2 linked regions of the Callithrix jacchus genome follow. The protein of the gene in region 1 interacts with the protein of each later gene in a pairwise test. Links are inferred from orthologs where the notes say so. Each region holds a gene or a part of one and is shown on either strand. Other genes may lie near its edges. The genes, in order: KIFBP and DOK2.

Evidence for each region.
Region 2: the proteins of KIFBP (region 1) and DOK2 interact in a two-hybrid assay, tested with the Homo sapiens proteins (2 studies listed by BioGRID and IntAct). The two-hybrid records come from large-scale screens. The link is inferred for Callithrix jacchus from reciprocal best matches to the Homo sapiens genes KIFBP and DOK2.

The regions. Positions count from the first base shown.
Region 1 is NC_133513.1:61,081,313-61,093,701, reverse strand, and holds the start of KIFBP (KIF-binding protein), read left to right. Parts: upstream 1-4,685; 5' UTR 4,686-4,734; coding exon 4,735-5,160; intron 5,161-9,105; coding exon 9,106-9,204; intron 9,205-11,481; exon of another isoform or gene 11,482-12,389. UniProt on the Homo sapiens protein: Activator of KIF1B plus-end-directed microtubule motor activity. Required for organization of axonal microtubules, and axonal outgrowth and maintenance during peripheral and central nervous system development.
Region 2 is NC_133514.1:19,592,014-19,604,316, forward strand, and holds DOK2 (docking protein 2), read left to right. Parts: upstream 1-6,645; 5' UTR 6,646-6,734; coding exon 6,735-6,797; intron 6,798-7,835; coding exon 7,836-8,117; intron 8,118-8,343; coding exon 8,344-8,431; intron 8,432-9,470; coding exon 9,471-9,655; intron 9,656-10,500; coding exon 10,501-11,118; 3' UTR 11,119-11,548; downstream 11,549-12,303. UniProt on the Homo sapiens protein: DOK proteins are enzymatically inert adaptor or scaffolding proteins. They provide a docking platform for the assembly of multimolecular signaling complexes. DOK2 may modulate the cellular proliferation induced by IL-4, as well as IL-2 and IL-3.

The sequences.
Region 1 (12,389 bases):
CCTGGCTTCAAGCAATCCTCCTGCCTTGGCCTCCCAAAGTGCTGGGATTATAGGTGTGAGCCACCATGCCTGGCCTTTTCTAATTATCTGTCATGAGACAGATTTCCAATCATTACATTATGGTTTATGTATTTAATATATTTATTGTTTTCCCTATACCAGGGCATGGATTTTTGTCTTTTTTTTTGAGGCAGGGTCTATCTGTTGCCCAGGATTGAATGTGGTGGCGTGATCATAGCTCATTGCAGCCTTGAACTCCTGAGCTCCAACAGTCCTCTTGCTTTAGTCTCCCACATAGATAAGACTATAGCCATGTGCTGCCACACCTGGCCAATATTTCTTTTAAGAATTTTTTTGTAGAGCTGGGGATCTTACTACATTGCCCAGGTTGGTGAATTTTTGTACATTTTTTACTACGGAATTCCCAGCACCTACAACAGTGCCTGGCAAATGACAGACACTAAATATTGAACAAGTTTTTTTTCCTTTTTTTTTTTTTTTGAGACGGAGTTTCGCTCTTGTTACCCAGGCTGGAGTGCAATGGCGCCATCTCGGCTCACTGCAACCTCCACCTCCTGGGTTCAAGTAATTCTCCTGCCTCAGCCTCCCGAGTAGCTGGGACTACAGGCATGTGCCACCATGCCCAGCTAATTTTTTGTATTTTTAGTAGAGATGGGGTTTCACCATGTTGACCAGGATGGTCTTGATCTCTTGACCTTGTGATCCACCTGCCTCGGCCTCCCAAAGTGCTGGGATTATAGGCATGAGCCACCGCGCCTGGCCTCCTTTTTTTTTTTTTACAGTGTCTCCCTCTGTCTGTCACCCGGGCTGGAGTGCAGTGGCTTGATCACAGCTCACCACAGCCTCCATGTCCCAGGTTCAGGTGATCCTCCCAACCTCAGCCTCCTGAGTAGCTGGGACTATAGGAATCCACCACCATACCTGGTTAATTTTTTTTTTTTTTTTTGTAGACATGGGGTTTTGCCGTGTTGCCCAGGCTGGTCTTTAACTCCTGGGCTCAATCGATCCCCTCCCCTCCCAACTCCAGCCTCCCAAAGCACTAGGATTACAGGTGTGAGCCACCACACCTGGTCCAAATCATTTTAAATGTACTGGGGAATGCACTGATAGGAGGCCAGACTGGCAGGACTGCCTATTAGAAATAATCAGATGAGGCTGGGCACGGTGGCTCATGCCTGCAATCCCAGCATTTTGGGAGGCTGAGGTGGGTGGATCACGAGGTCAGGAGAAGACCAGCCTGGCCAACATGGTCAAACTCCATCTCTACTAAAAATACAAAAAATTAGCCAGGGCATAGTGGTGCGTGCCTGTAATCCCAGCTACTCGGGAGGCTGAGGCAGGAGAATCAATTGAACCCAGGAGGTGGAGATTGCAGTGAGCTGAGAGCATGCTATTGCACTCCAGCCTGGGCGACAGGGTGAGACTTAATCTCAAAAAAAAAAGAGTAATCAGATAATGGTGGCCTAAACTAATGGGAGATAAAAAGATGTACACAGAACTATTTAGAAGGCAGAATAGTACTATTTGGTTTTAGGTTTAATAATAAAAGAGACCTGGTACAGTGGCTCACACCTGTAATCACAGCACTTTGGGAGGCCATGGTGGACAGATTACTTGAGGCCAGGGGTTCGAGACCAGTCTGGCCAACATGGTGAAACCCCATCTCTACCAAAAATACAAATATTAGCCAGGTGTGGTGGTACACACCTGTAATCCCAGCTACTCAGGAGGCTGAGGTTGCAGTGAGCCAAGACCAAGCCAATGCACTCCAGCCTGGGTGACAAAGCAAGACTCCGTCTCATAAATAACAGAAGAGGCTGGGCTTGGTAATCCCAGCACTTTAGGAACCTAAAGTGGGAGGATTGCTTAAGCACAGGACTTCGAGATCAGCACAGGACTTCCTTCCCATTTGCAAATGGGAAGGAAGGGGCATGTGAAGAGGAAGATAATAAATTTAGACTTCAACATACTGACATACAGCAGCTATTGAAACATTCAGGTGTGATTGTTCTAGCTGAATGTTGGATATTCCAGTCTGGAGCTCTGGAAAGCCATCTGGCCTGGAGACAGAGTTGTGGGAGTGAGCAGCACATGTAATGATAGACCTAGAAATGGATAAGATCTCCCAGGGATAAGGTTTAGGAAGGAATTTTTAGGAGCATTAAAGGGACAGACATTTAATTTTATTTATTCTTCAGAATAATTCTGTGGAGGTAAGTAGTAGTATTTACATTTTACTATGAGAAACCTGAAGCTTAAAAAAGCTAACTTGTCAATAAGAAAGCTGGTCGATCTGAGATTCAAACCGTATGTCCATGACCTTCTAAAATCAATGCTCATTTGTATGTCTTGAAGCACTTTACACAGGTAGTTCTTAATAGTTAAAATCTTAAATCACCCCTCCCCATTTGACTTGATAACTTAGGAAGGTTGAAGATCTGAGGTGGCTTTCACAGTTGTGGGACTTAGCTCTTGTTACCGTGGGCAGTTGTACAGATTCCTACGACCTGTATTTCAGGGTCAAAGTGAAAATATTTATCTATCACTGTTTTGTATATTTATGGCTCTCACTCAGGAGATTACATATTAATACTGATAATAATTGCCAGGTGGGGTGGCTCACGCCTATAATCCCAGCATTTTGGGAGGCCCAGGTGGGTGGATCATCTGAGGTCGGGAATTCAAGACCAACCTGACCAACATAAAGAAACCCCGTCTCGGGCCGGGCGCGGTGGCTCAAGCCTGTAATCCCAGCACTTTGGGAGGCTGAGGCGGGTGGATCACAAGGTCAAGAGATCGAGACCATCCTGGTCAACATGGTGAAACCCCGTCTCTACTAAAAATACAAAAAATTAGCTGGGCATGGTGGCGCGTGCCTGTAATCCCAGCTACTTAGGAGGCTGAGGCAGGAGAATTGCCTGAACCCAGGAGGCGGAGGTTGCGGTGATCCGAGATGGCGCCATTGCACTCCAGCCTGGGTAACAAGAGCGAAACTCCGTCTCAAAAAAAAAAAAAAAAAAAAAAAAAGGAAAAGAAACCCCGTCTCTACTAAAAATACAAAATTAGACAGGCGTGGTGGTGCATGCCTGTAATCCCAGCTACTCAGGAGGCTGAGGCAGGAGAATCGCTTGAACCCAGGAGGCAGAAGTTGTGGTGAGCAGAGATCCCGCCATTGCATGCCAACCTGGGCAATAAGAGGGAAACAAACAACAACAAAAAAAGCAGATATTGGCTACATTTCAATCAGATCTTGGCTACATTTCAATTTTTTTTTTGAGACGGAGTTTCGCTCTTGTTACCCAGGCTGGAGTGCAATGGCGCGATCTCGGCTCACTGCAACCTCTGCCTCCTGGGTTCAGGCAATTCTCCTAACTCAGCCTCCTGAGTAGCTGGGATTACAGGCACACACCACCATGCCCAGCTAATTTTTTGTATTTTTAGTAGAGACGGGGTTTCACCATGTTGACCAGGATGGTCTGGATCTCTTGACCTCATGATCCACCCGCCTCGGTCTCCTAAAGTGCTGGGATTACAGGCGTGAGCCACCGCGCCCTGCCCAATCTTTTGTCTTAATTTTTAAGTTCCGGAATACATGTACAGAACATGCAGGTTTGTTACATAGGTATACGTGCGCCATGGTGGTTTGCTGCACCTATCAACCCCTCATCTAGGTTTTATGTCCCACATACATTAGGTATTTGTTCTGAGGCTCGTTTTTTCTTCTTTTCTAAAGCCGTCTCACTGTAACCACCTCTTGAGCTCAAGCGATCCTTCCGCCGCAGCCTCCATGGTAGCTGGGACTACAGTCGCTCGCCACCATGTCCAGCTAAAAAAAATTATTGTAGAGATGGGTCTTGCTATGTTGCCTACGGCAGTGTGGGCATCCCAAAATGTTAGGATTACAGACGTGAGCCAAGGCTCCTGGCCTTTTTTAAAACAGGTTTTTATCCAGTGATAGGCTGGGGTATACACTTAATGTCCAAAGGTTTTTGCCTTTCAGTTAATATCAACGCGAGTAGACTTAGCTAGCCATATTTGTAAAAAATATTCCGATATGCTTCATTGAAGTAAGCCGATTAAACATTTTTATTTTTATTTTATATTTTATTTTTTTGTTTTTGAGACGGGGTTTCCCTCTTGTTACCCAGGCTAGAGTGCAATGGCATGATCTCGGCTCACTGCAACCTCCGCCTCCTGGGTTCAGGCAATTCTCCTGCCTCAGCCTCTTGAGTAGCTGGGATTACAGGCACGCGCCAACATGCCCAGCTAATTTTTGTATTTTTAGTAGAGACGGGGTTCCACCATGTTGACCAGGATGGTCTGGATCTCTTGACCTCGTGATCCACCCGCCTTGGCCTCCCAAAGTGCTGGGATTACAGGCTTGAGCCACCGCGCCCGGCCTTAAACATTTTTATATAAATCCGTCCTCACAGGGTCAATCTAGATATAAACTCACCGCTGCAGGGGGCGGGGAAGGAGGCGGGAACATGCTCATTGACAACTTCATTTCCATGAGAATGGTTGCTGTGGTGACTGCTCCGTCTTCCCATTGGCCGCTGACGAACGTATTGCGGTTTTACGGGCGGGTTTTATTGGTTCCCGTTCAGCAGCGGCCCCGACCTGTCGAGAGCCGTAAGTAAAGTGTCGCAAAGCAGAAGGAAGGCGGGAGTCCCGACTGCAAACGTTGGGGAAAGCCAGGCAGTAGAGGCCGCTATGGCGAACGTTCCGTGGGCCGAGGTCTGCGAGAAATTCCAGGCGGCGCTGGCCCTGTCGCGGGTGGAACTGCATAAAAATCCGGAGAAGGAACCGTACAAGTCCAAATACAGCGCCCGAGCGATGCTCGAAGAGGTCAAGGCGCTGCTCGGCCCCACGTCTGAGGACGAGGATGAGCGGCCTGAGGCCGACGACTGCCCAGGTGCGGATGACCACGCCCTGGGGCTACCGGCTGAGGTGGTGGAGCCCGAGGGGCCTGTAGGCCAGCGAGCGGTGAGGCTGGCGGTCATCGAGTTCCACCTCGGGGTGAACCACATCGACACTGAGGAGCTATCGGCGGGGGAGGAGCACCTGGTGAAATGCCTGCGGCTGCTGCGCAGGTACCGGCTCTCGCACGACTGCATCTCCCTCTGCATCCAGGCGCAGGTGAGAGCAAGCCCCGCCAGGCCGGCCCCTGACGGTGAATGGCGAGGGATGGGGAGGAGCCCTTGCCAAGGCCAAGGGCAGACATTCTAAGGCGCAGTTCGTCTCCATGTTTTTTGAAGCTCTGGACTGAGTCCCAGAGAGCATCTATGATCTTCAACAAGGCGAGTCTAAAGGACTTATTGCTTTGTAACTAGATCTCCCACTGTCGCCCCCAAGCTCCCTGTTCACCCTTGTCGCCCACTCTAACATCGCTTGCTGTTGCTTCACTTAGTTGTGGCGATGCATTGGTGTCGGAGACCCTCCTGAATTGTCATGCATTTTCCTCTCCACCACTCCAACTCCTATTCATTCTATTAAGAAAATCCGAAGTAATTTAAATCTTAACGTTTCAAGGAAATGACAGTGACTGGAGTACATTTTTGTTTTGTTTTCTTAGAGATGGGGTCTCACTGTGTCGCCCAGGCTGGAGTTCAATGGTGCCATCATAGCTCATTGCAGCCTCCACCTCTTGGGCTCAAGCAATCCTCCTGCCTCAGCCTTCATAGTAGCTGGGACCACAAGTGCACCTCACTGCTCCCAGTAATTTTTTAAATTTTCCGTAGAGATGGGGGTCTCACTATATTGCCCAGGCTAGTCTTGAACTCCTGGACTCAAGTGATCCTTCTGTCTCGGCCTCCCAAATTGCTGGGACTACAGGCCAGAGCCGCAGTGCTTAGCTGAGGATACATTCTTTTTTTTTTTTTTTTTTTGAGACTGGAGTGCAATGGCATGATCTCGGCTCACCACCGCAACCTCTGCCCCCTGGGTTCAGGCAATTCTCCTGCCTCAGCCTCCTGAGTAGCTGGGATTACAGGCACGCGCCACCATGCCCAGCTAATTTTTTGTATTTTTAGTAGAGACGGGGTTTCACCATGTTGACCAGGATGGTCTCGATCTCTTGACCTTGTGATCTACCCGCCTCAGCCTCCCAAAGTGCTGGGATTACAGGCTTGAGCCACCGCACCTGGCTTCAGGATACATTCTTAATTCAAAACAAAATGTCCAAAATTTTTAGCTTCCTTTCTTATCAAATTCATTTGTTTGTATCTCAGGGAATTCTTCCCCATTCTTCAAAACCCATCTCAAGAATCACTTCCTTTAGTATTAATAACTTTCTTGGGACCATTTTGAACCAAACTGATCTCTCCTTCCTACCTTTGAATTCTTATAATAACTTTTTGTTTCCCATTTATAAGGTGTTTGGTTTATTCAGTAAATCTGGGCAGGGCAAGTGGCTTACATCTGTAATGCCAGCATTTTGGGAGGCTGAGGTGGGAGGATGGTGTGAGGCCAGGAGTCTGAGACCAGACTAGGCAGCAAGGTCAGACTCTGTCTCTACAGGAAAAAAAAACAAAACAAAAACAATGCCCCCACGCCAAACAAACAAACAAAAAAACCCAAAAAACTAGCCAGGCATAGTGTTACACGCCTGTGGTCCTAGCTACTAGGGAGGCTGAGGCAGGAGAATTGCTTGAAACTGGGAGGCGAAGGTTGCAGTGAGCCAAGATTGCGGCACTGCATTCCAGCCTGGCGACAGAGCAAGACTCTGTGTCAAAAAAAAAAAAAAAAAAAAGAAGAGATTGCAATTATCTGTCCAGAAACTAGAACAAGTTGTCAATGAGGATGTCTCCGAACTAAGAAATAAATAATATTGGAGATACGCACTGGTCCGGAAGCACTTGACAAAGCTAAGGCATTGGCAGCAGGTGCTGGAGGACATCATGTGCAGCACAAAAAGCCAGCCGATATCCGTCAAGCATTCAATATTCCTGCACCTCTGAAGTGGACCTGGACAAAAGGGTAAAGGCTGTTGGCCTGAGAGTGGGCAGGTATGGGAGACAACCCTGTGCAGATGGTTTGCCACACATCCCTTCTGTGGACTTGGCATTTTGGAAGAACCCTTTGCCAGAGGATGAGATGATTTTAATTTTATGCTCCCACCTAAAATTGTTTCACTGTTTTTATAGGGTGTTAATTTCTTGAGTACTTTATAATATGCCTGTAACTTGGGTAAACCAAGTAAACTTATTTTGTCTTAGGCAAAGTTTAGACTGTTAGTGTGGTGACACAGTTTCTTTTTCATGTTTTTTTTTTGTTTTTTTTTTTTGAGACAGAATCTTGCTCTGTTGCCCAGGTTGGATAGCAGTAGCACCTCATGGCTTACTGTAACTTCCACCTACTTGGCTCAAGCGATCCTTCCACCTCAGCCTCCCAAGTAGCTGGGACCACAGTTGTGTGCCACCACACCCAGCTAATTTTTGTATTTTTGTGAAGACTGGGTTTCATTTGATTGCTCAGGCTGGTCTCAAACTCCTGAGCTCAGGCCATCTACCTACCTTAGCATCCTAAAGTGTTGGGATTACCGGTATGAGCCACCATGGCTCGTCTTTTTAAAATTTTAGCATGACTTTTCATCTTCTATGTGTGTTTCCCATTGTTTAATATGAGGGGAAATTTCTAATAGCTTGAGAATCAAGGGGATGGGGATTTTGGTTGTAGGCCTTTTGTGATAATTAACCCTCAGTGGTGGTGTAGAAAAATATGTAAATTTTTTTCTGTTTTAAGACTTCAGACTACATCAAGAAGAGGACTGTAATGCAACAGTATTTGTAATGCTTCCAGAAGTCTCACATGAGGAGTTTTTTGGAAATGGGTTGGAAGAGGATTAAAATATCCTTGGTTAGTGTAGTAATATTACAGTAGGATCCTTAGGTTGATGCTGACTTTTATTTGGGGTAAGTTTATATTTTGTGTGGTATTTATTTACTTTTTTTGAAGAGGAGGATGTAGTAGGAACAGTGTTACAAATCAGTTTCAGTAATGGGGTAGACCTTGTTCTCAGTAGGGGTGACTTATGAGGGCTAAAGCTTGCTCTGATGGTCTCTTTTTGTTTTATTTTCTTTGATTTTATCTTTTTTGTTTTACATTTTGAGAGGAGAGAGATTTTCTATTAAGGAAGGTTATTCCTGGTGAATTTGATTATTGGGGTGTCACAGTGGGGTTGGGGAGGGACTGCAGCATGATCCTTGGCTACTGACCCTCTGCAAAGAGCATGTGGTGCCCCTGCCTTTGGGAAGATAATTTGCTCTCTTGTTAGTTTTGCAGGCCACCTCAGATTCTTTGTTGAATTGCTGTTAAGAAATACAGACCAGTGTTGTTTCTGGACTCTCTCGTTGGGTGAGGTTTTCCTGAGTTTTATGTCTCTTCTTAGTTCACATCGTGCTACTCAGAACAAATGCTTCACTCTCCTCTGAACAGGCAGTACTCCTGTGGTTCTGTGTCTTGGCTTGTTCAGTTTTCTTCAGCTTGAAGGCCCTTTGCCACATTTACTGACATCCACTTATGTTCCTGGTATGACCTGGATTGCCGCCTGGTCCCTGAAACCTTCCAGCGCCCATTCTGCAGCATTCCCAGAGCACAGGACTTTTCTCTTTTCTGCTGACTTTGCTTGGTTCTCCCTTGTGGGTTAGTAACTTCTGTCTCTTTGCCCCTCACTAATTGTTCACCCATGAGAATTAGGTATTATTCCTTTTAAATATACAGGGACCATATAGTCTTTACCTTTTATACATGATATGTATTACTCAATTTTGTGTGTGCAAGGTATCTGCTGGCACATGGACCTGTGATTACTAGCCTGAGGCAAACAGATCTCAGCTAGAATGCATAGGTTAAACAAAGCTTTTCTTTTTTTTTAATTTAATTTTATTTCTCTTTATAGAGAAATAGGGTTCATTTTAGCAGCTACCTGCTGTACTACATAAGGTTAGTATCATTGGGAATTATTAATTCATTGGTAATCCAACTCCACTATTTGATTCGTAAGTATTGACTTTAAAACTATGAAAGTTACTTTAATTGGAAGGCTTATATTATTGTTTGTTTCTCTTTTTCCTTATTTTCTAGAATAACCTGGGTATCCTGTGGTCTGAAAGAGAAGAAATTGAAACTGCACAGGCTTACCTAGAGTCATCAGAAGCACTATATAATCAATATATGAAAGAGGTATGTTACATGTCAGATAATTTTTCAGTTTTGATTGAAAACTAGTCAAGAATTGATAGTAAGAATTCCTCATGCATCATATCGCTGTGACTCTTCACTGTGCCCAGGAACTTCTCTATAGAGCTATTTGGGAAGTCACCTAATAACTGAAATTATTGCATATTAAGGACTTTGGGGTTTTAAAAAAATAATCCTTGGATAGGACATAATGGCAACCTAGTCTAAATACAATTATGAAAGAAACATTATTCTTTTTTTTTTGAGAAGGAGTTTTGCTGTCTTTACCCAAACTGGAGTGCAATGGCACGATCTCGGCTCACTGCAACCTCTGCCTCCTGGGTTCTAGCAATTCTTCTGAGTAGCTGGGACTACAGGCGCACACCACCATGCCCAGCTAATTTTTGTATTTTTAGTAGTGACGGGGTTTCATCTTGTTGACCAGGATGGTCTCGATCTCTTGACCTCATGATCCACCCGCCTCAGCCCAAAGTGCTGGGATTATAGGCGTGAGCCACCGCGCCCGGCTAAAAGAAACGTTATTCTAATGTTATCCCAAAATACTATTTGCATGTTTTTGTATTTATAATCTAAACATTCTATTTTGGTTTTCAATGAAAATACCACTGTTTGACAGAAGCAATAACTTTTAACAAAACATCTGAAATCTTTGAAGCAATGGTTCTCAAACGTTAGCACCCATTAAAATCTCCTGGAGAGCTTGTGAAAGCACAGCAGACTGGGCTTCCAGTCTCTGATTTAGTAGTTCTGGGGTGAGGCCTAGGAATTTGCATTTTTAACAAGGTCCTCAGTGATGCTTATGCTGTTGTCCTAAGTACTGTACTGTACTTTGAGAACCACTGCTTCAGGGCAATGGTTTTTCAATGTTTTTTTTTTTTTTTAACCTGTGAAACCCTTCTGAAAATACAGCGTATAAAAACTGATTTGAAGCTGGGCACGGTGGCTCACGCCTGTAATCCCAACACTTTGGGAGGCCGAGGAGGGCGGATCACCGAGTTCAGGAGTTTGAGACCAGCCTAACCAACATGGAGAAACCCCAACTCTACTAAAAATGCAAAATTAGCAAGCCTGTAATCCCAGCACTTTGGGAGGCCGAGGCGGGTCGATCACGAGGTCAAGAAATCGAGATCATCCTGGTCAACGAGGTGAAACCCCGTCTCTACTAAAAATACAAAAAATTAGCTGGGCATGGTGGCGCATGCCTGTAATCCCAGCTACTCAGGAGGCTGAGGCAGGAGAATTGCCTGAACCCAGGAGGCAGAGGTTGCGGTGAGCCGAGATTGCGCCATTGCACTCCAGCCTGGGTAACGAGAGCGAAACTCAGTCTCAAAAAAATAAAGCAAAATTAGCTGGGTGTGGTGGCGCATGCCTGTAATCCCAGCCAGTCGAGAAGCTAAGGCAGGAGAATTGCTTGAACCTGGGATGTGGAGGTTGTGGTGAGCTGAGATTGTGCAATTGCACTCCAGTCTGGGCAACAAGAGCAAAACTCCATCTCAAAAAAATAAAATAAAATGGATTGAGTTACTCTGGTTAAGGAGGTTAGAAGAACCCAGAGCCCAGTCCACTGCAGATTCTTCCTTCCTCCCCACTTCAGTAGTATAAAAGAGATGCTGTAGAACTTCTAGGGCTCTGGGGAGCTAATGCTGAAAACTCTCACTTTAGGGGTCACAGCCTATAAAGGTGACAAGCCACTGTGTTACATCTGTTTCTTTAATAAACTTTTTTTTAATATGAAAGAGAAATGATCAGGTACAATATTTTGCTGTGGATTACTATTTGTCACATCTGTCTGCTTTAAAAGCCCATTAATATGGCTGGGCATGGTGGCTCATGCCTGTAATTCCAGCACTTTGGGAGGCTGAGGCAGGTAGATCTCTTGAGGTCAGGAGCTCGAGACCAGCTTGGGCAACATGGTGAAACCCCATCTTTACTAAAAATACAAAACAGCCGGGTGTGGTGGCGCATACTTGTAGTCCCAGCTACTCAGGAAACTGAGACAGGAGAATCGCTTGAACCTGGGAGGCAGAGGCTGTAGTGAGCTGAGATCATGCCACTGCACTCCAGCCTGGGCGACAAAGCAGGACCCTGTTTCAAAAAAAAATCCATTAATAAAGTGTTTTTATAACATTAAAAAACTTGAAATAACATTATATATCATATAAAAGAGACTAAACATACAGAATTATGTTTGCTAAATTCAGGCATCAGAATGCTTGACTACAAAATGATATGAGAAGCTTGTATGCCTGTAATCCCAGCACTTTCAGAGGCCGAGGCAGGAGGGTCACATGAGCCCAGGAGTTTGAGACCAGCCTGGGCAACATAGCAAGACCTCATCACTACAAAAAATTTAAAAATTTGCCAGATGTGGCAGCACACACTTATAGTTCTAGTTACTTGGGAGACTGAGGCAGGAGTGTCACTTGATCCCAGGAGTTTGAGGTTGCAGTGAGGTATCATTGAACCACTGTACTCTAGCCTGGGTGACAGAGCAAGATTGGTTTGGTTTTTTTTGAGACGGAGTTTCGCTCTTGTTATCCAGGCTGGAGTGCAATGGTGCCATCTCAGCTCACCACAGCCTCCGCCTCCTGGGTTCAGGCAATTCTCCTGCCTCAGCCTCCTGAGTAGCTGGGATTACAGGCACATGCCACCATGCCCAGCTAATTTTTTGTATTTTTAGTAGAGACAGGGTTTCACCACGTTGACCAGGGTGGTCTGGATCTCTTGACCTCGTGATCCACCCGCCTCGGCCTCCCAAAGTGCTGGGATTACAGGCAAGAGCCACCGTGCCCGGCCTTGGTTTTTTTTTGTTTTTGTTTTTTTTTTAATTTGTTTTTGTATTTTAAAACAAGCTTGGAAAAATTTTATTAAAGGAAAATTTTGTATGGTTCACTTTTCACCAGTCTGTTCTGGCATGCTTCTAATGATGTCAGAATCACCTGGATCAATGATAGCCAATGTGCACATTCTGTAGCATTTTCCACATGCTGTGCCCAGTTGAGTATTATTGCCACTATAGTGATGGACACCAGTTTTGGCTAACATTGCATAGTACTCTATTTTGGATTTCCTCAAAGCTGGGCAGTTGTTAGTGAGAATGACCAATTTTGCTTTGCCTTGTCTGATCATCTTCAGAGTCTGCTTGTACCCCAGCACATACTTTCCAC
Region 2 (12,303 bases), on another chromosome or scaffold:
TTCCCGTTTTCCTTTGGATTCCACTGTGGCTTCCATTCAAGGCCCCCAGGTTAGATCATAGCTGGATTCAAAGAGCATTGATTGTTTGAAGTTTGTATTTACTGGGAGCTACCATCATATGCAAATGATGGTGGTAGTGAATTACACACCCTTTGTGGATATAGTGGACCGGTACTCAGCATTCATTTCAACTTCCGTCCTCCTGGTGGGTCTTCCGGGTTTGCAGAAGGTAGGGCACTTGGAAACTACATTGCCCAGACTTCCTTGCAGTTAGGGTTCTGTATGCAAGTTAAGCTCTTCCAATTAGGCTGACTGAGAGAAGATTTAAGAGGCAGAAGATTTAAGTGGCAGAGCTTTTGACAGTTGCTTCTACCTTTTGAGATGTTGGGTTTTTGTTTTTCTCAAAAACCTTTTAGTATCCAATCATTCCAAGAGTATAAAGAGGCAGCATGGTGGGGTCAGTGGCTTGCTGAACCTGGCATCGTGAAATGGTGTATTCTCGGAGTCACAATTGCAATGGAAATTCTTTGGATTTCCTACTGGACTGGGTAGAGGTAACAGTTTCATGGTGGGCCAGGCCCAAATTTCTGTCCACCCCCACTTCCCCCCGACCCCTGCATCCCAACCTCTCCATGTTTCTCCCTGTGCCTTCCCTTTCTCAGTAAGTGATACCACCATTCATCCAGTTGCTCCAAATACACACTCGAGTTGATTCTTCAGGTCTTATCAGTCCCCAACGTGCAAGTCACCTGCAAGTCCTGTTGAATCTATATCTAATGTATACCCAAATAGGACCACTTCTCCATCCATCTCCACTGTTAACACCTTGATCCAAGCCACCATTACATTTCCCCTGTGCTCTGGTAACAGATTCCTAATTAGTTTCTCTGATTCCTGTCTTGCCTCTTGATAATCCATTTTCCACATAGGTGGCTGCAGAACATTTATTTATTTATTTGTTTGTTTATTATTTTGAGACAGAGTCTCAACTCTGTCACCCAGGCTGGAGTGTGTGGTGTAATCTCAGCTCACTGCAACCTCTGCCTTCCCGATTAAAGCAATTCTCCTGCCTCAGCCTCCCCAGTAGCCGAGATTACGTGCGCCCAGCACCACACGGCTAATTTTGGTATTTTTAGTAGAGACGGGGTTTAACCATGTTGGCCAGGCTTGCCTGGAACTCCTGACCTCAGGTTCCCTAAGTGCTGGGATTACAGGCATGAGCCACTGGGCCTAGCCAGTGGCTTTAAAATCATAATTCAGATAATTTACACTCCTACTTAAAATCCTTAAGTGGCCGCATGCACGTTGCATTTAGAATCTGAACGTTTGCTGTGGCCCGAGAGGTATATATGAGCCGACCTTATCTGTACCAAGCTCCCTCTGGCAAAATGCTCTGTGGTCATTCCGGCCTTGCAGTTTTGCAAAGCCAGCGTCTTCCTGCCTCAGGGGCTTTGCACTTGCAGTACTTTCTGCCTGGTTTGGTTTTCCTTGCGATCTTGCAATGGCTGGTTCACTCTCCTCAAGGACTTTTCAGCTCACTTGCCACCTCCTCAGAGGGGCTTTTCTCACCACCCTCTTGAAAGTTGTCCCCTGTGCCTGTCACTATCACAGCATTGATCACTGTCCAAAACTACGTATTTCCTCTTTGTCAGTCTCTTCAACTAGAAGCAGATACAGTGTAAACAAGGATTCTGTTTATGTTGTATCCCTAGCACCTCTGCACAGAGTAGATGCTCAATAAATAATCATTGAGGCCAGGCATGGTGGCTCATGCCTGTAATCCCAGCACTTTGGGAGGCCAAGGTGGGTGGATCACTTGAGGTCAGGAGTTCAAGAACAGCCTGGCCAACAGGGTAAAACCCCATCTCTACTAAAAATTTAAAAAATTAGCTGGGCGAGAACTCACACCTATAATCCCAGCACTTTGGGAAGCTGAGGCGGGCAGATCACCTGAGGGTGGGAGTTCTAGACCAACCTGACCAACATGGAGAAACCCTGTCCCTACTAAAAATACAATATTAGCCAGGCATAGTGGTGCATGCCTGTAATCCCAGCTACTCAGGAGGCTGAGGCAGGAGAATTGCTTGAACCTGGGAGGTGGAGGTTGTGTTGAGCCAAGATCATGCTATTGCCCTCCAGCCTGGGCAACAAGAGGAAAAATTAGCCGGGCATGGTGGTACGCACCTGTAATCCCAGCTACTCAGAAGGTTGAGGCAGAAGAATGGTTGGAACCCAGGAGATGGGGGTTGCAGGGAGTTCCACTGCATTCCAGCCTGGACGACAGAGTGAGACTCCATCTCAAAACAAAAAATAAATTTTAAAAATTGTGGAATGTATTAGCTTCTTTATGTCTCATTCCAGGGTGCATGTGGGTTTCATATGAAGACATAAAGTGTTCTAAATATTATGTTACTGTTAGGTAACATAATTATTATGTTTATGTTACGTTACATTATGTTATATTATGTTACAGGCCCTTCCTCTCAGGGTTTCTAGAACTAGGTTCTCCCTTTCCTTAGTACTGAGAAAAGTGGTAGACTTTTTTTTTTTTTTGAGATGGAGTCTCACTCTGTCGCCCAGACTGAAGTGCAGTGGCACGATCTCGGCCCAAACCTCCGCCTCCTGGGTTCAGGCAATTCTCCTGCCTCAGCCTCCCGAGTAGCTGGGATTACAGGCACGCACCACCATGCCCAGCTAATTTTTTTTTTGTATTTTTAGTAGAGACGGGGTTTCACCATGTTGGTCAGGCTAGTCTCGAACTCCTGACCTCATGATCCACCCACCTTGGCTTCCCAAAGTGCTGGGATTACAGGTGTGAGCCACCACGCCTACCGGAAAATTGATAGACTTAGTGGAGAAAGGGTAGGGGCTACAAATGAAACTCAAGAGACTGGCATTGTCCTTCCCCCCCTCCCCCCCCACTGAAGGTGGAAGGGGCAGGGAGGGGATCCTTCAGAATACTTGCTCACTGATTTCTTCACTCCGTCCTTTACCCTTCTCAGGGCCACATCAGTTCTCTGCCCATCCTGTACCTACTTTTCTGTTTGTGTCCAGAGCTACCCCTTAGGATTGGGTGGCTAATCACTGCAGCATAATAGTAACAAAAAGTTGCAAAGTTGTCCTTCCTGACTCCTGCTGAGAGAAACCATTGAATAGGACTGGGGTCCCAGTGGTTTAGAATGAGCCACAGGTGGGGTTTGGAGTGCCTCTTCCTTTCCTTAAAAACAAAGAGAAGTCCAGGCGTGGTGGCTCACGCCTGTAATCCTAGCACTTTGGGAAGCCAAGGTGGGTGGATCATGAGGTCAGGAGTTCGAGACCAGCCTGACCAACATGGTGAAACCCTGTCTCTACTAAAAATACAAAAAATTAGCTGGGCATGGTGGTGCGTGCCTGTAATCCCAGCTACTCAGGAGGCTGAGGCAGGAGAATTGCCTGAACCCAGGAGGCGGAGGTTGCGGTGAGCCGAGATGGCACCATTGCACTCCAGCCTGGGTAACAAGAATGAAACTCCGTCTCAAAAAAAAAAAAAGAAAAAAAACCAAAGCGAAGCCAAGAGGCACCCTAAATTCCTTTACAATGCTTTTTCTTTTGAGGCAAAGTCTCTCTCTTGCCCCCCCCCACCCCCACGCTGGAGTGCAGTGGCCCGATCTTGGCTCAATTCGACCTCCGCCTCCTGGGTTCAAGCGATTCTCCTGCCTAAGCTTCCTGAGTATCTGGGATTTACAGGTGCCTGCCACCACACCTGGCTAATTTTTGTATTTTTAGTAGAGACAGGGTTTCACCATGTTGGTCAGGCTGGTCTTGAACTCCTGACCTTAGGTAATCCACCCACCTCAGCCTCCCAAAGTGTTGGGATTACAGGCGTGAACCACTGCGCCTGGCATACAGTGCTTCTTCTACACATCATTTGTGCCTGCGGATCCTCAGGGCATATAATTCTGTGTTTCTGCTGTGTCTTGGAGCAATGTCTCTGGGCTCCTGCTCTGGGTTTCCCTGTGGTTAGACAGAAGGTACTGGGGTTATTGCTTCTACTTCAGGGTCCCCACAAATCCTGCTAGGGACGGTTGAAGGGGCCTAGAAGGACTGCAAGGGTGTTACTCTTCATATATGCTCTGCTGCCCTATCTTCTGCAGACAACAGCAACCGGAGAACTTCTCCAGCTTCCATAGGCAAGGGATGACTTGGGGTGTCTGGATTGCCTGAGGTTCCAGCCTCTGGATTGAAATAGCTTTCAAGTAATCTGGTAAGCTGGGGTGCCCCCCTGTGGTTCCTAGTGGAATGTGTCTGTTTTACCTTCAGGGAAGGCGATCAGGGTAGCAGGGGACATTCTCTGTTACCCTGCTATTCAGTGTGGTTTGGCCCACTCACTACCAGTAGGATCTCAGGGCTCATTCCAGACCGGCTTTATTGGAATCTGCACTTTTTTTTTTCAGACGGAGTTTTACTGTCGCCAGGCTGGAGTAGCACCATCCCAGCTCATTGCAACCTCTGCCTCCCGGGTCCAAGCAGTCTTTTGCCTCAGCCTCCTGAGTAGCTGGGACAACTAGCATGCACCACCACACCCAGCTAATTTTTGTATTTTTAGTAGATGTGAGGCTTCACCATGTTGGCCAGGATGTTCTCAATCTCTTGACCTCATGATCTGCCTGCCTCGGTCTCCCAAAGTGCTGGGATTACAGGTGTGAGTCACCACATCCAGGCCAGAATCTGGACTTTATTTATTTATTTATTTTTGAGACGAAGTTTCGCTCTTGTTACCCAGGCTGGAGTGCAATGGCACGATCTTGGCTCACCACAACCTCTACCTCCTGGGTTCAAGCAATTCTCCTGCCTCAGCCTCCCGAGTAGCTGGGACTACAGGCGCGCGCCACCATGCCCAGCTAATTTTTGTATTTTTTAGCAGAGACAGCGTTTCACCTTGTTGACCAGGATGGTCTCGATCTGTTGACCTCGTGATCCACCCACCTCGGCCTCCCAAAGTGCTGGGACTATAGGCGTGAGCCACTGCGCCCGGCCCTGGACTTTTAACAAGATCTACGTGTTACAGTTTGGAAGGCACTGCTCTGGCAGCCCCCAGGGTGGCCCTAAAGCCCTCCTCTTCTCACTCCCTGAGCCAGAGACCATGCAGCTCCCAGGCAGAGTTGATTCTCCTTAGGGACTAAAGGGGAAGATTAGGCCACATCCCATTTTCATACAACTACCCACTTTCCAAGGTGTGCTTTTCCCAAAACAGCATCCTTGGTTCTCCCTTGAGCTTTGGATCAAACTCTTCCAACCCAGGCAGCAGGGTGGGGGGTGGTGAGCTTGAAGTGACTCAGCCCTGTCCTCGCAGAGCTCTTGACATTCACCTTTTCAAGCTGATTTGGTCTGCGGCATGTACAGCAGGCCTGAGCTGTGCACGGTCCTCTCACTCCTTGCCAGGGTAACTGAACCCCTGTGGGAGAGGAAGTGGGCCTGTGTATATAAGCACCTGTTATGGAATGAACCCCAAGAGAATGAACTGCTGGTCTGAGCCTCAGTTTTTTCCAGCATTTCTGCACCGTGCCTCTATGCAGATTGCTTTCTAAACCCTCTGGCTTTAAGCTAAACTTCTCTGAGCAGCCTGGATTTCCCTAAAGCAATGGGTCTTCTTGCATGGATCTGCCTTCCATTTAGGGGCCTGCGAAATGCTGAATCAGGAGCCCTGGTCTCTACTTCTTCCTCTGCTGCCTAGCTCTGACCTCAGGCAAGATGCAAATAAATGTGTTCACACCTGCCCTGCCTTTGTCGAGGGGTAGAGTGGCTGATGAAAGTGTGGGCCTGGAAACTGGGAGCTATGAAGCATTTTCGGCAACCATGAGGCATTTTCAAAATATATATGAAAGTGATTGCTATTGAAACTTAAGATAATTTGCAGATGAAACCTAAGCATCTTTCTAATGCTCAAGAATGCTGGAAAGAAGGCAAAAATCCAGCAGTTGAGGTGTACTTGGGGAGTCAGTTCCTTCTCCAGAGGAGATGATCATGTTTCTTGAATCTTTGCAGGGTTGGTGTCAGTGTGTGTTCTTGGCAGGCAGGGAGTGCTCCCATGTAGTTAAATGGTGGCACCTCTCTCTCTCTGTGTGTGTGTGTGTGTGTATGGGAAAGTGGTGTCTGGTTAGGCCCACATGAGCTGTCTTATGTGTCTCTCTGTGCCATGTCGTGTGTGTGGTTCACCTGTTAGAGTTGAGAAGCCTGGTTTGGTGGCCTCAGATAAGTTCCTCAGGCTTTCCCAGCCTCAGTTTCCTTATATGTAACTTAGTGGTTTGTCCCTTCCAACTTGCATACAGCTTGAGGTGGGGCCCTTCTGCTGCTGGTTTCACTGTCTAATTTGGTTTCTTGGTCTCTGTTCCAGCAGGCCAGCCCCTGTTTGCTGGTGCCTCCATGTGCCAACTTCTGTACCTGAATTGTTGCTCACTGAAGAGCTGGCACTTGCCTTTTTGTAAATTGTCTGTAACTCACTGGAAATGCAGGAAGCTTGTGTATAAAACTCACTCAGAAAACACACACACACACACACACACACACACACACACACACAGAAGAAACCACAGGGCCTATCAGCCTGTCGTCATCAAGCAGACTAGAATAGTGTAGAAAACTCTAGGCAGAGAGGAAATGAACTTCAGAGAAGGGGAACACACAGCTGAGAAGACAGAGGAGAGGGCAGGAGTGAAGGAGAGAGCTGAAGCCAGGGGCTCCGAGATGGTCAGAGGATGGGAGACGGGGCAGTGAAGCAGGGCTTCCTGTATCTTCAGCAGCAGCAGACGTTTGGAAAGGTAGGAGTGAGGCTGGACTGGGCCTGGAGGACTGCTAGAAATTCCTGAGGTGCAGAGTTTCATATTCAAAACCCTTATAGGTCTGACTGTACACTCACCAAGTCAGACTCAAAGCTCAATCTTGGGAGGGCTCTTTCCCTACCAGACGCTGTCTCCTGAACCAGGCCCCAACCAGGTCCCAAACTGTGCTCTTTGCTGAGGGCTGTTTGCCCTGGGTGGGGGTAGGGGGATGTGCTGGCTTCATCTCTTGCCTCTTTTGCTCTTTTACTTTGTGTTGGCTTCTTTTCACAGGACATCTTGGAAAGGAATGGGAAGGGCAGCTGGAGGGACGGTTTAGGATGATGGGAGAGGTTCCTTCCTCACCCCAGTGAGGTGCATGTGGCTGGTGTTCATGCATGGGGCTTCTGGGGTCTGGGACCCAGCCAGCTGTCCATCCTCTCTCTCCTTCCCTGGCCTCCTTGAACCAGGAAGTCCTCATCCCCCAGCTGACCAACACTGGGGGCACACCTGTCTCTCTCTCATGGCCCAACCTATCAAGCAGTGAGGCAGCAAGGTTCAGGAGGGTGGAGAGACGTTCCTGGAGTATGGGGCCTTCTTCAGGACTTGGTACAGAAGGAGAATGAGGTCTCTAGGCTGGGCCACATGCTGCCCTCCTCACTCCCTCCTCTGGAGGAAAGCTTTGGCCACTGCCCGGCTTTCCTCCTGGGGACTGGAGTCCGCTGGGGTGGCCCCCTTTGGCTTCTTGCAGCCTGCTTAGGGCTCATCCCGGTGTTGCTTTCTGCCTGGGCAGTCTGTGCTCCTGCTCGTGGGCCTCGTTCTGGGGGCTGGCGGCTGGCGGCTGATCCGATTTTCTGATTCCTGCAGTCCCTGTCCTCTTCTCTGCCTCCCTGGGTCTCCTGTGATCTTCACCTCTCTCTCCCCATCTCCCGTGGCTGTCCCGGTCCCCCTCCCACGGTTCCTCTTCTCCCCTTGAGTCACGATCTCCCCTGTCTCTGGGTGGCCCCCTCTGGGCCCCCGCCTCCCACGCCTCTGGCTCAGAAATGGCGCCGCTTCGGGGCTGCGCTGTATGGAGAGTCGGACTGCGCCTTGGCCCGGCTGGAGCTGCAGGAGGGTCCGGAGAAGCCCCGTCGGGGTGAGGCTGCCCGGAAGGTTATTCGCCTTAGTGACTGCCTGCGGGTGGCTGAGGCCGGCGGAGAGGCCAGCAGCCCCCGGGACACCAGTGCCTTCTTCCTGGAGACCAAGGAACGCCTGTACCTACTGGCGGCCCCCACTGCAGAGCGAGGCGACTGGGTGCAGGCCATCTGCCTCCTGGCCTTCCCGGTGAGTCACCCTGGGGTGCAGAAAGGGCAAGGGGGCATGCAGGCCAGGGTGTTACATGCTTCCTGTGGGCAGGTGTTAGAGAAGTCAAGGTCAGGGTGCTTCCTTGAGAAGGGGACCCGAACCCAGCGCACAGACAGAGCCAGCAGGCTGGGGTGCCCTGCAAGGAGGCCTGGGTCAGAGGGGGACCTGGGGAGGAAGGTGGTGAGACCTGGGGCCTCCTTCCCAGGGGCAGAGGAAGGAGCTCTCGGGGCCAGAGGGAAAGCAGAGCCGGCCGTGCATGGAGGAAAATGAATTGTACAGCTGCGCGGCCACAGGTGAGGGGCGGGGGCTGCCCTGCTATCCCTGGGGGTTCTCCCCAGGCTGAGGTGAAGAGGAGGTGTGGGCCAGCTAGCTGCTGGCCCAAAGTCTTCCTGCCTTGTGGTTACCCGCAGCTGGGGCCAGCCACCTTATCAGCCTCTCTTTTTCACTTCCGGGTACAGCCCAGCGGAGGGGAGCCTGGCCTGCCTTGAGTGTCTCCCTTGGCTCACCCCATTTTACCTAGGGCCTGCTGGTGCGAGAGGGGAACCCTAGGGGCCCAGGTGTTGCCTTTTTATTTTTATTTTTGAGGCAGAGTTTTGCTCTTGTCCCCCAGGCTGGAGTGCAATGGCCTAATCTCAGCTCACTGCAACCTCCGCCTCCCAGGTTCTATCCATTTTCCTGCCTCAGCCTCCTGAGTAGCTGGGATTACAGGTGCCCGCCACCATGTCCAGCTAATTTTTTTGCAATTTTAGTAGAGACAGGGGTTTCACCATGTTGGTCAGGCTGGTCTCGAACTCTTGACCTCAAGTGATCCACCTACCTCAGCCTCCCCAAGAGCTGGGATTATAGGTGTGAGCCACCACACCGGCCCAGGTGCTGCTTTTGAGGAGCTGGTGGAGGGAGAAGCAGCTTTCATCTGCCTTCCATCTAAGCTCTACCCCCCAGGGCCCTGGCAGTGGGAGGGCAGGGCCAGGCTTCACCTGCAGCTGTGACAGTAGGGATTGGGGAGGTGACTGGTTTGGGGTGAGAGAAGGGGTGGGGAAGACAAGACTGTGGCTCTGGCAACAGGGGCAGGAAGGATGTGGGCACGAGGTTGGGGTGGATGTGGGTAGGGACATGAGGCCTACTAGGGTAGGGGGTGGATGTACCTGGCCTTTTGGGGAGTATGACCTGGCATAGAGCAGCTCAGCCTCCAAGACCCAGATGGGCGGTCATGAGTACGTGGATAATATTCTTTCTAGAACACTTCTGGCACAGTCATTTAGAACTGGGCAGCGGTGAGGCAGGCCAGCTCTTTCCCATTAACTGCCTTCACCTTCTCTCTCTTCTCCCCAGTTGGCCCCCGCAAGGAATTTGCTGTGACCATGAGATCTACAGAAGCCAGCGAGAGGTGCCACCTGCGGGGGTCCTATACCCTCCGGGCGGGGGAGAGTGCTCTGGAGCTGTGGGGTGGGCCTGAACCAGGGACCCAGCTGTACAACTGGCCCTACAGGTTTCTGCGGCGCTTTGGGCGGGACAAGGTGAGTGGGAAGCTGCATCGGGCTGGGTTGGGAGAAAGGATAAGCTATGAACAAAGTGGGTGATCAGGGAGAGGCAGAGGAGGCCAGATGAGGCCGAGGGAGCCATTAGAGGCAGAGAGGATGGTGGGGAGGAGGAGGTGGGAGGAAGCAAAGGCAGAGAATAAAGGCCAGTGGAAGAGAAAAGAAGCATCGAGGGGATGGGAGAGACTAGGAGAGGGAGACGGAGTGAAGCAAAGAGGAGAGTGACAAGATGGTGGAAGTGGAGGAGAAGGAAGGAGAAAGGAGAATGAGAAGAGGTGGAGAGACCATGGAGGAGTGAACAGTGGCTGAACTAGTGCCTGGCTCCATCCTTGAATGGAGCAGTGAGCAGGAAGGGCCTGGAGATGGGAGAGGAGAGAGCCAAGTCTGCTTGTAGGGAAAAGCACAGAGGTTCTGGTGAAGGGAAGCTGGAGGTCCCAGGGCATGGGTTAGAGATAGGGTTTAGAAGGCATTCCTGGGCCAGGCGCAGGGGCTTAGCCTGTAATCCCAGCACTTTGGGAGGCTGAGGTGGGCAAACCATGAGGTCAAGAGATCAAGACCATCCTGACCAATATGCTGAAACCCTGTTTCTACTAAAAATACAAAAATTAGCCGGGTGTGGCAGTGCATGCCTATAGTCTCAGCTACTCGGGAAGCTGAGGCAGGAGAATCGCTTGAACCCGGGAGGTAGAAGTTGCAGTGAGCTGAGATCACACCACTGTACTTCAGCCTGGCGACAGAATGACCCTCCATTTCAAAGAAAAAAGAAAGAAAGAAAGCATCCCTGCCCTGTGGCTGGCCGATAACCTCCTTTCTCCCTGGCCTAGGTAACCTTTTCCTTTGAGGCAGGCCGGCGCTGCGCCTCTGGAGAGGGCAACTTTGAGTTTGAAACCCGGCAAGGCAATGATATCTTCTTGGCCCTGGAAGAGGCCATCTCTGCCCAGAAGAATGCCACCCCCGCTGCACCCCAACCCCAGCCAGCCACAATCCCCGCCTCACTGCCCCGGCCTGAGAGCCCCTACTCCCGGCCCCATGACTCACTGCCGCTGCCTTCACCCACCGCACTAGTACCTGCTCCACGGCCTCTGGGCCCAGAGGGGGAGTATGCCGTGCCCTTTGATGCAGTGGCCCGTTCCTTGGGAAATAACTTCAGGAGCATATTGGCAGTCCCTCCTCAGCTCTTGGCTGACCCTCTGTACGACAGCATTGAGGAGCCCCCGCCCCCTCGACCCGACCACATATATGATGAGCCCGAGGGAGTGGCTGCCCTGTGCCTTTATGACAGCCCACAGGAGCCCCAGGGTGAGGCCTGGAGGAGGCAGGCAACAGCTGACAGGGACCCCAGTGGCCTCCAGCATGTCCACCCAGCCGGGCAGGATTTCTCTGCCTCTGGCTGGCAGCCAGGAACCGAGTATGACAACGTCATACTTAAGAAAGGCCCGTAGTGACAGAGGCCGCAGCCCTGTCCCTGGCTTCTGCTGGTGACTCCTCATGGCCACAGCATCAGACGACCCTCCTCTGCCCCTCTGGAGCCCGAGGCCTGGCCTGCCTTCCTTGGGGCTGAAACACTGCCCCTCCCAGGGCCTGCTGGGTGAGTCACCATCCCAAAGCAGGAAGGGTGCCCTGGAGGACCCACCCTCCTCCCACTCTTTTTCCACTTCCTCCTCTTTCTTTCCCCAGCTGAGGGGGAACCTGGGGCATTTGGGGCAGAGGACAAAAGGATGTCAGCAATTGCCTGGGCTGCTTGGCTGTGCAGGCCTCCTGACTGCTGATGGCCACTTCAGGGACAGCCTGGGCCCAGGCACCAAGGTGGGTGGCGGTAGCTTCCTCAGCTTTCAGATTTCTCAGTGGCATTAAAGCATTTTGGAAACATTTTGTGTGGCATGAATGCTGTGGGAGTGAAGACTCTAACTGACCACCCTTGATCACCTCCTCTCCCAGCTGCAAGGTGCCCCCAGGGCCTAGGCTGCGCTCTGGTAACCTCCCAGAGGCCCGCAGGAGTCGGAGTACCCAGGCAGCGCAGTGGTTCATGCCCGTAATTCCAGCACTTTGGGAGGCTGAGTTGGGTGGATCACGAGGTCACGCATTCAAGACCAGCCTGGCCAACATAGTGAAACCCCATCTCTAAAAAATTAGCCAGGCATGGTGGCAGGTGCCTGTAATCCTAGCTACTTAGGAGGCAGAGGCAGGAGAATCACTTGAACCTGCGGGGCGGAGGTTACAGTGAGCCGAGACTGCGCCATCACACACCAGCTTGGGAGACAGTGCGAGATTTCATCTCAAAAAAAAAGAAGTCAGGGCGCCCTGAGAACAGTGTTCAAGCATGTCCCCCCTTTGCCAGGATAAGGTCAACCTCAGAGAAATGGTGGGGGAAACACTGGGGAGCAAGGGAAAGCCGAATTGCAAGGAAGGAAAGCATTGGATTGCTGGAGCCTCTTACACACCAGGGGTGGGAGTCACCTGCTCCGTGGTCCTAGGCTCTCTCCCTTCTCTGAGATTTGTGTACATCTTTGTAAAATGAGGGGGTTGCACCATGTGGGCACTGAGCAGCCTTCCAGCTCTGTGATTCCCTTTGGCCCTGGGCTCCCAGGCCCCCACACACCCATTTTCCTGCAGGTCAGCCTGTGTCC